2 linked regions of the Schizosaccharomyces pombe genome follow. The protein of the gene in region 2 interacts with the protein of the main gene of each other region in a biochemical or structural test. Each region holds a gene or a part of one and is shown on either strand. Other genes may lie near its edges.

Evidence for each region.
Region 1: the proteins of php4 (region 2) and grx4 form a complex in vitro, tested with the Schizosaccharomyces pombe proteins (one study listed by BioGRID).

What each region holds. Positions count from the first base shown.
Region 1 is NC_003423.3:3,955,592-3,959,287, reverse strand, and holds grx4 (CIA machinery monothiol glutaredoxin Grx4), read right to left. Parts: upstream 1,905-3,696; 5' UTR 1,785-1,904; coding exon 1,050-1,784; 3' UTR 809-1,049; downstream 1-808. Other genes in the region: pph3 (serine/threonine protein phosphatase), read left to right, coding at 3,359-3,428, 3,544-3,696. UniProt on the Schizosaccharomyces pombe protein: Monothiol glutaredoxin involved in the biogenesis of iron-sulfur clusters. Binds one iron-sulfur cluster per dimer. The iron-sulfur cluster is bound between subunits, and is complexed by a bound glutathione and a cysteine residue from each subunit.
Region 2 is NC_003423.3:1,914,756-1,918,980, forward strand, and holds php4 (CCAAT-binding factor complex repressor Php4), read right to left. Parts: upstream 2,138-4,225; 5' UTR 1,983-2,137; coding exon 1,095-1,982; 3' UTR 620-1,094; downstream 1-619. Other genes in the region: SPOM_SPBC16E9.02C (CUE domain protein ), read right to left, coding at 3,406-4,225. UniProt on the Schizosaccharomyces pombe protein: Component of the transcription regulatory CCAAT-binding complex. Required for the reprogramming of the cell for iron use. Down-regulates pcl1, sdh4, and isa1 underlow-iron conditions.

The sequences.
Region 1 (3,696 bases), 2.0 Mb from region 2:
CGTTGGTTTTCGTATCCCTAAATTTGTTAAGAACCTAAAGTTTGACAACACACTAAAAAGGTTTTCGTAATTTACGATGTAAAGGTGTGGAAAATTTTTTAGAAGGTAGCACCAATATTATTGGCTGCTTTTGCAAAGCCAAGTGACTGCTTTTTTTCAAATACTTACTATAAAAAGGCATCGTCCGCGATTTTGAAGACCATCGACGATACTCCATAGGATCATTTCTATAGTATACGTCCGGCTTGGGTTTCCTAACCTAGCCACAGAACTCAACACGGATGATGATAGAAGGCACCGTTGCCCGCAGAGTGAGAATTTTTACTTCTTTGAGGATGTGCTGATCGATTTGGCTTTTTGCTTAATTGTTGTGCTATCTTTATTTGCGATGATCTCTTACATGATATGTTCCTTTTGGTCGTGTCATGTAGGGCAGCTGGTGTTTTCTGACGTGTTTTCTGTACATTTCTTTGTAACAATTGTCGTGAATCGTTTGTGAGAATTGTTATAACTTGATGTGCATAGTCAAAAAGTGTGTAGATGATGAGCTAAGCAGTATTCGGTTTTCATGTAATATGTGAGCAGTAGGCATTGTTCGTGAATGAGAATCTGTTGTTTTTAAGTTGTGAAATAAAATGTAGAGAAAGGTGTAGTAGTCGATTAGTTCTTTTGTGTGGATACTGGCGCAGTTGTATTGCATACTCTAATTGTTTATTTTTTCTGAAATTTGGGGGTACTGCTAAATGGTAAAGTGTACGAAGTAATAGTTGCAATGGTAGTTCTGGCTCCTTTGTGTATTCTTAATTAACCTGGTTGCTTATTATGCGTTATTTACTTGCTTAAACTCATTTTATGTTATATAGTTTTATTAACATTTGTTTTGATAAGTTGAGGCGGTTAGTTAACAAAATTAAATTAACAGAAAACTAAATCTGCAATCGTATTATTATCTGATTATCCAATTTAAAAGTTATCTTTCACAAAATCATCAACATAAAAGAATGATTAAGGATATTAAAAGTACAATTCTTCATATGCACAGATAACAATTAATTGGGAAGCATCTCTTGCAATTCACCATTTTCAATCATCTCCGAAACAATATCTAAACCACCGACGAATTCACCTTTAATGTACAATTGAGGGAAAGTTGGCCAATCGGAAAACACTTTAAGACCTTGGCGTACAGAATCATCAGCCAATATGTTAAAAAATCCATACTGAACGTTTTGCTCACGAAGTAATCCAACGAGCTTACGACTAAAACCACATGCAGGTTCTGAAGGAGTACCCTTTAAAAAGAGCATAACATTGTGAGCATTTGTTAGCGTGCTCAACCTTTCATTTAGTTCAGAATCCAACCCATTTGGAGCTTTAGAGGTATTGGAAGTAGTGTTGGTAGTCTGAACGGAATTTACTTGAGTTTCCACGGACGCGTTGGTAGAGGATATTTGGGAGATAAGGGGTTGAATATACTCGTCAATAGCAGCCTTCAATTTTTGAGGATTTGCCCCCGAAATTCTAGCCAAAACTTTTGCTCCGTGGATTAAAACAAATAGAGGAACAGCGTTTACATCAAACGACTCTGCTATATCGGAAAATTTTTCAGCTTCAATTTTTAAGAAAACGGCATTTTTCGTGTCCTTTGCAAATTGATCAAAGACTTGGTTCATTTGCTTGCATGGAGCAGCCCATGGTGCATAAAAATTGAGTAAAATTATTTGCTCTTTTCCATTTTGCAATATCTCTTGAAATTGTTCAACAAAAGTAATTTCGACGCTCATTTCCAATCAAAATAGCACAGCTTGAGGAATTATTTCTTTTCCTACTTTTTTTTTCAAAAACCTAGTTTATTCTTTTTAATCAACAATCAACGCCCTATTTTTTCCTAGTTGGTTGTCGGCAGGTTCGGCTGAGCAGTGTAGAAAACGTATCTAGTAAAATCTCTTCCTTGCACAATAGGCGACGCAAATGATATAATTGCAGCAAAAAACATATCCAAGTAAATTACTCGAAATTTTTTAGTTAAACCACTTTTGATGTACGTTTTGATGATTCTTCTTCACTTTTTTCATTGTCTATTCATTAAACGGCATTCTCGATCTCATTTTTTTAATTACCATCGTGACTGATCAGATAACTTTATCCCTCGGTATTAAAACGTCTGGAAAATAATTTTTTCGGCAAAAAAAACTAGTGTGTTGCGCTTATACTCCGATTCTACGTAATACCCAAACAATTCTGTTAACATTTTATTTTTGTATGTTGTACATAAAATTAACAGTCGCTTTACTAGCCAAATGAGTTTATAACAAGCGACCAAAACAACCAAGATGAGATATGTTTCATACTTGATAAAAACAACAGCATACACATTGATTGATATAGTTAAAGTATTAAAAAATTGCATTGTACTGCTCAGGGCAAGCATTTCTTACACACCTCATTCTTTTGATAGTACGCAAATTGCAGTAAACCATATTGAAAGATAGAAAGAATATATTTCTAAAATCTTTTTAGTTATTTGAACATCTTGAGTTGCCGACTGAACATAAGTAAAGAATAGTATGCAAATTATGTTAAAGCTTCACATAAATTATGGGTTTGCAACACGAATTGACTATACAGTTTTTCTATATTGAGTGTATATTCCGCCACAGGGGTACGCCTTCAGCATACAGATTATTTTACCTATAATTGTGAGTGTTATCTGATTTTTACCAAGAAGCTATAGTGTTATGTAGTTTATTTCACAAAAACCCTATAACATCAAAGCTGCGCATTTGTGCGAACAATTTAGATCCGTTAGAACTATAGGAGTTTTTCTTATAATCTAGATATATATATGAGTAGGTGCACGTTCTTGTATTAGCGTTATAAAAACTCAAGATCAATGATAATACGGCATGCTATAATAATCATACTGGAGTAGCATGCAACTTAATTAAAAGATTCTAGTTCATCATTAATTTTAAGTATAAATGATTAAAAAAAAACAATCTAATACAAAAACTTGTGTCCATTTCATTTCGAGATGAAAGCACTAATAATGGTGGAGCAACCGTATTTTTCTGAAAAACAATCTAGCGTAACGCAACGTATGTGTCAATAAAATTCGGAAGCTGCTAATTAAGGAGGTCATGTTAATTATTTTAAAAGTCATTATCAAAAGGAAAACCGAATTTTAGTCACCAAAGCTCTACGCGTCATACCTCTTGACAGAGGTATTTTGACTTATTTAAAATTAAATTTCTTAAATGATACATAAAGTTGAAAAAGAATTTCACTTGTTTATTTTCTTATTCTAAAGGACCAAGTTATTCTAGTTTTCTTTACTTTATGTTTTGACGAGTTCAAAATGACTGATTTAGATTTGGATTGGCAACTTGAGGAACTGGAGAACGGAAGGTTAATTCCAGAATCAAATGGTATGTATAATAGTATTTATAGAATAACTTTTATCTCCGTCGATATAACAACGATCATTCATATTGGTTGTTCTTTGCCATAATTATAAGAATGGGGTCTAACGTTTTGTGGTAGTTGTTGAACTTTGTCAGCGTGTAAGAGATATTTTAATTGAGGAATCTAACATACAATGGATCTCATCTCCTGTAACCATTTGTGGTGATATCCATGGCCAATTGCATGATTTACTGGAGCTTTTTCGAATTGGTGGGTCATGTCCAGGTACAA
Region 2 (4,225 bases):
AATTACAGTTAACATGCATAATACTTGTTTTGAAAAAAAGTTATGAATAAAAGCTCAATTGTAAGCACATCACAAAGAACGATTTTTAATCGTAATTGACGATATGTAATTTTGGATTTCATATAAAATTGTAACTACTTATTAAATGATCATTAGGGGAAATAGCGCACACTGTTTTATATCCTCTTCAAATTTACAAAATGAAATTAATCAATTTTAGCAATTTACCTATTTTATATGATTGAATTGAATTGAAAAAACCATGAGTTGATTATGACGCTGAAAGAAAGACATATAAGATCCTTAGGACACTACAACTCTTTCTACTTGAATGCGAAAGTGGATTGGTCTCACCAAAAGATTACCGTACACAAGAACTTCGGTGCTCTAGCAAGTTTTCTTTCAACCAGGGCAATTGCAAAACGAAGAAATTCTAGTGGTACACCACACTGTTAAAAAAAATTGACTAGCATATTAACATTGTTAGATTATTCACTTTTTAAATTTGGAAATACGAAGCTTCAAACATAAGCCATAATAAACACAGTGAAGGCTTTAGCATTAAATTTATTAAAAACACTGCTTAGCAGTTTGTAAAGTCAAATGTTTGCTATGAACATTTTGAGTAAAAATATAACAAAGATTTATTCTTTTCTATACAAATCAGAAAATATATAAAAACAAAACATATAGTGAAATTAACATATATAACAGAAAAGGAAGCAATGTAATGAACAAAGCGATCTAGACTAGAATATGTCAAGGAAACATACTTTACGACGTACAGCCAGTCTAGTGAGTAAAAAAAAAACACACTCTTAAAACAAATACCAAGAACACGAAAAATAAAATGTTGTAATATTTCTGAATGTATTGGTTCAAATACCAGTAGTGAACGTTAGTATTAACAGAAAGAAATCCAAAAAGAACGAAAATGCACAACGAATAAAATAGTATGAAGCAAGATAATTAAGTCCGAAAATAAAAATTCCGTACCATGGAAAAAGGTAATGGAGATCACTTACAAACAGAAAAGTCGCTGCTGAGATGCAATAACAAGAGGAGATGAGAGATGACAAAAACTTTTGGGAAACTTAGGAAGAAGAGGATATGGAAGTGACGGGACGAACATCGTTAAAATTTGGTTCCATGGTAGGAAGTTTGAAGGCGATTGAAGGACCTGCCTTTAACATCGGAGCAGACTTCGAGGACTTGTGTAAGTCAATAAGTAGTTGAGCATAAACCTTGGTTTCCTCGGATTCACGGACACGTTTAACAGATTTAGGGCTTCCAGAGTACAAACATCCTTCTACACTATTGCAAACACCACGTTTACGTATCTTCTCCATTACTGCTGGGTTTTCAGGTGTAAAATTAATTTCGTTTTGGGGAGACATAGATACACGAATTCTTCCATTTTCGGATGGAACGGACTTTGCATCTTTACTGTCACTATCCACACGAATTCTCTTGGCCGAATCACCCAAGAAGGCATGAGGATCTAGCTCAATGGGAATCTCTGTATAAACGGCATTCTTAGCACAGGGCGGCTCGACCGGATAATTGTACTGATTTACATAACGGTTTTCATTCTCAGTAGTCGCAGAATCTGGCTTGACAACTTCAGAGTTTACTTCGACTTCCTTGGGGCTATCCAAAGTAGAATTCTTCAACTGAGCCTGCAGCATCTCCAACTGCTCAAGCAGCTCGTTGTTCTCCTTCTGTAACTTTCCGATCGTATCCTGATATTGTTTTTCACGAACACGGAATTTGGCTTCCTCGACCGACAAAGCTGAAGTCGGCCCAGGTCTTGGTTTAATAGGTGCCTTTCTTCTTCCCAGAGCATCTAACGCAGGTTTCCTTCCTGGTTTGGGACGAGGAGGAACAACCCATTGTTTAGAGACGCGAATCATCGGCTTTTGAGGTGCTGGAGAAGCAGAAGATGATTTTTCCACTTCCGATGGACTTTTAGACGATTCCATGAGCAAAAAAAAAGTTGGGGGGATAGGAGATATCAAGTACAGAACTACACTTTTAGCAAAATATATAAATCTTTATTTTCCAATACTCCAATGCCTCTACTGACCAAGCTTAAAAATCTCACTTTTTCAAACGTTTGTCGTTGGTGGTTTGTTTTAATCTGATAAAGAGATACGATTAAATTATATCTGATCTAAGTGCCGTGTGGTTCGATGATTGTACTGTTAACCCGGTATGCAACACCTCGTTATATCTTTAAAGACTCAATTTTCGGGAAAAAACGGATTAGTGAACAGGTCGGCTTAGAGGCGCTGTTGACATACATTCTCAATACCCATCATTTCAGTTACAGAACCAATTAAAAAACGCGGGTATGGTGGACATCATCTGATTAAAACCGATCGACCTAATAAACTCTGGGCTCTGGCTATGTAATACTACAATCATTCGGCACACCAACTATCATAGTAATGCTTATCCATGTTACTTTTTTGGAGTTAAATTAATGTTCTGACTCACTGCTTTTCTCATGTCATACCGTCCTTTGAAGATTATTTAACATTTGTTTATATTTTTGATATAATGAGATGAAACGAAAGTGCACTAACACATGTGACTGTTTTTTGACTCCTAGTATATAAGAAATGTGAGTGAGTTAAAACAAAGCTTCATCTCACAAAATAATGAATTACTGATGTCAAAAAGTCTGCTCTCTTCTAACGCGGTTATAATATAGAACCGTATTAATGGTTGCAGCTTTTTCCTCTTCATGGAATCGGTATAGATTATGTCGGGGAGACCGACAGCATAGCTTAAAACCATCGTGAAGTCGTTGCTTCGTGCCATGGCTCGTGATGACCGAATGCTACGTACAGTTTTTATATTTTATATCATTTTTTAGTTTGATTTATGTTGTATTCAGTTATTGTTGTAGTTAAAATACGTTGTTTTAATAATTCACGTTGTTTCGTGCCTTCTCAATGAATATCATTTTTTTGTAAGCATCATATGTCTCATGTACAGTAGTGGTAAAAAGAATAAAGGTTGCTATGCACGCAAGGATGGAGTGAATGTATGGATACTTAGCTACTCAGTTTATCCAAATGGTTTCGATAAAACTTCAAGCACAATCTTAAATTAAAGTTACTTTGCAAATTCATCAACGGGATTGCGATTGTCGTGAAAAATTTAATTGATTATTAATAATTCAATTATAAAAATATGAAACAAAAGAGCTCGAAAAAACATTACTTATAAGAAAAATCGAAACAGCGCTAAAACATTTACTGTAAAGCTGAGGAACACCGAAAATAGCAAAATTTAAATCTTCAAGCTACTCGTACCCTGAATACTCAAGGCATATATAGTACCATTAGCTGATTACAACTCTTGAACCTATCATGATGTGCCTTGTTGTTCTTTCCCTTAAGTCTCTTTTCCCGAATTTTGTAGATCAGCAGCCTCCTCGATCTTTTCCTTAACATCTTTGCTGTCAACTTTTTCAGCCTTTTCATTTGCCTCTTTATTATCATCCTTCGCAGGCTTCTCGTTAGTGTCCTTACTGTCAGTCTGTTCGACTTTGTCCGCAGTTTCTTTGCTATCGGTCTTTTCCTCCTTGTCATCGACCTCTATACTATCAGTCTCCTTAGCCTTGACATCGGCCTCTTTACTTTCAGTTTCTTCGACCTTGTCCTCAGTTTCTTTGCTATCGGTCTTTTCATCCTTGTCATTGGCCTCTATACTATCAGTCTCCTTGGCTTTGACATCGGTCTCCGTTTTACCAGTGTCTTCATTTGTTATCTTTGTATCTTTCTCCTCAACATCCTTATGAAGACTAGCTTTGTTATTTTCGTCCTTACTCTCCTTTTCTTCCCCAACGTCAGATTTCTCTTCTAAATTGGCTTCCGAATCAGCATTCTTGGCTTCAGTTTTCTCAGAAATTTCAGCTGTATCAGACACATCGGATGCTCCTTTACCAACAGCAGGCTCATCAGTTTCGGTTTTTTCGGCTTCAACAGAGGTAGAGTCCTTTGGCTCAGATGTTAGTACCTTGGATTTAGCATTGGATGATCCCATTTGTTCTTCTGATACGGTCTCAAGCGTGCGAGCGGCTTGCTTTCGTGACTCGTCGGGTTTTTTTTCCACTACAACTTCCTTAGTGCTTGCAGTAGGCTTACTTGTGTCTTTTTTCATCTCTAACTCTTCATTGTAAGCTGATTCAAGATCACTATCATCGAGAGCAAAA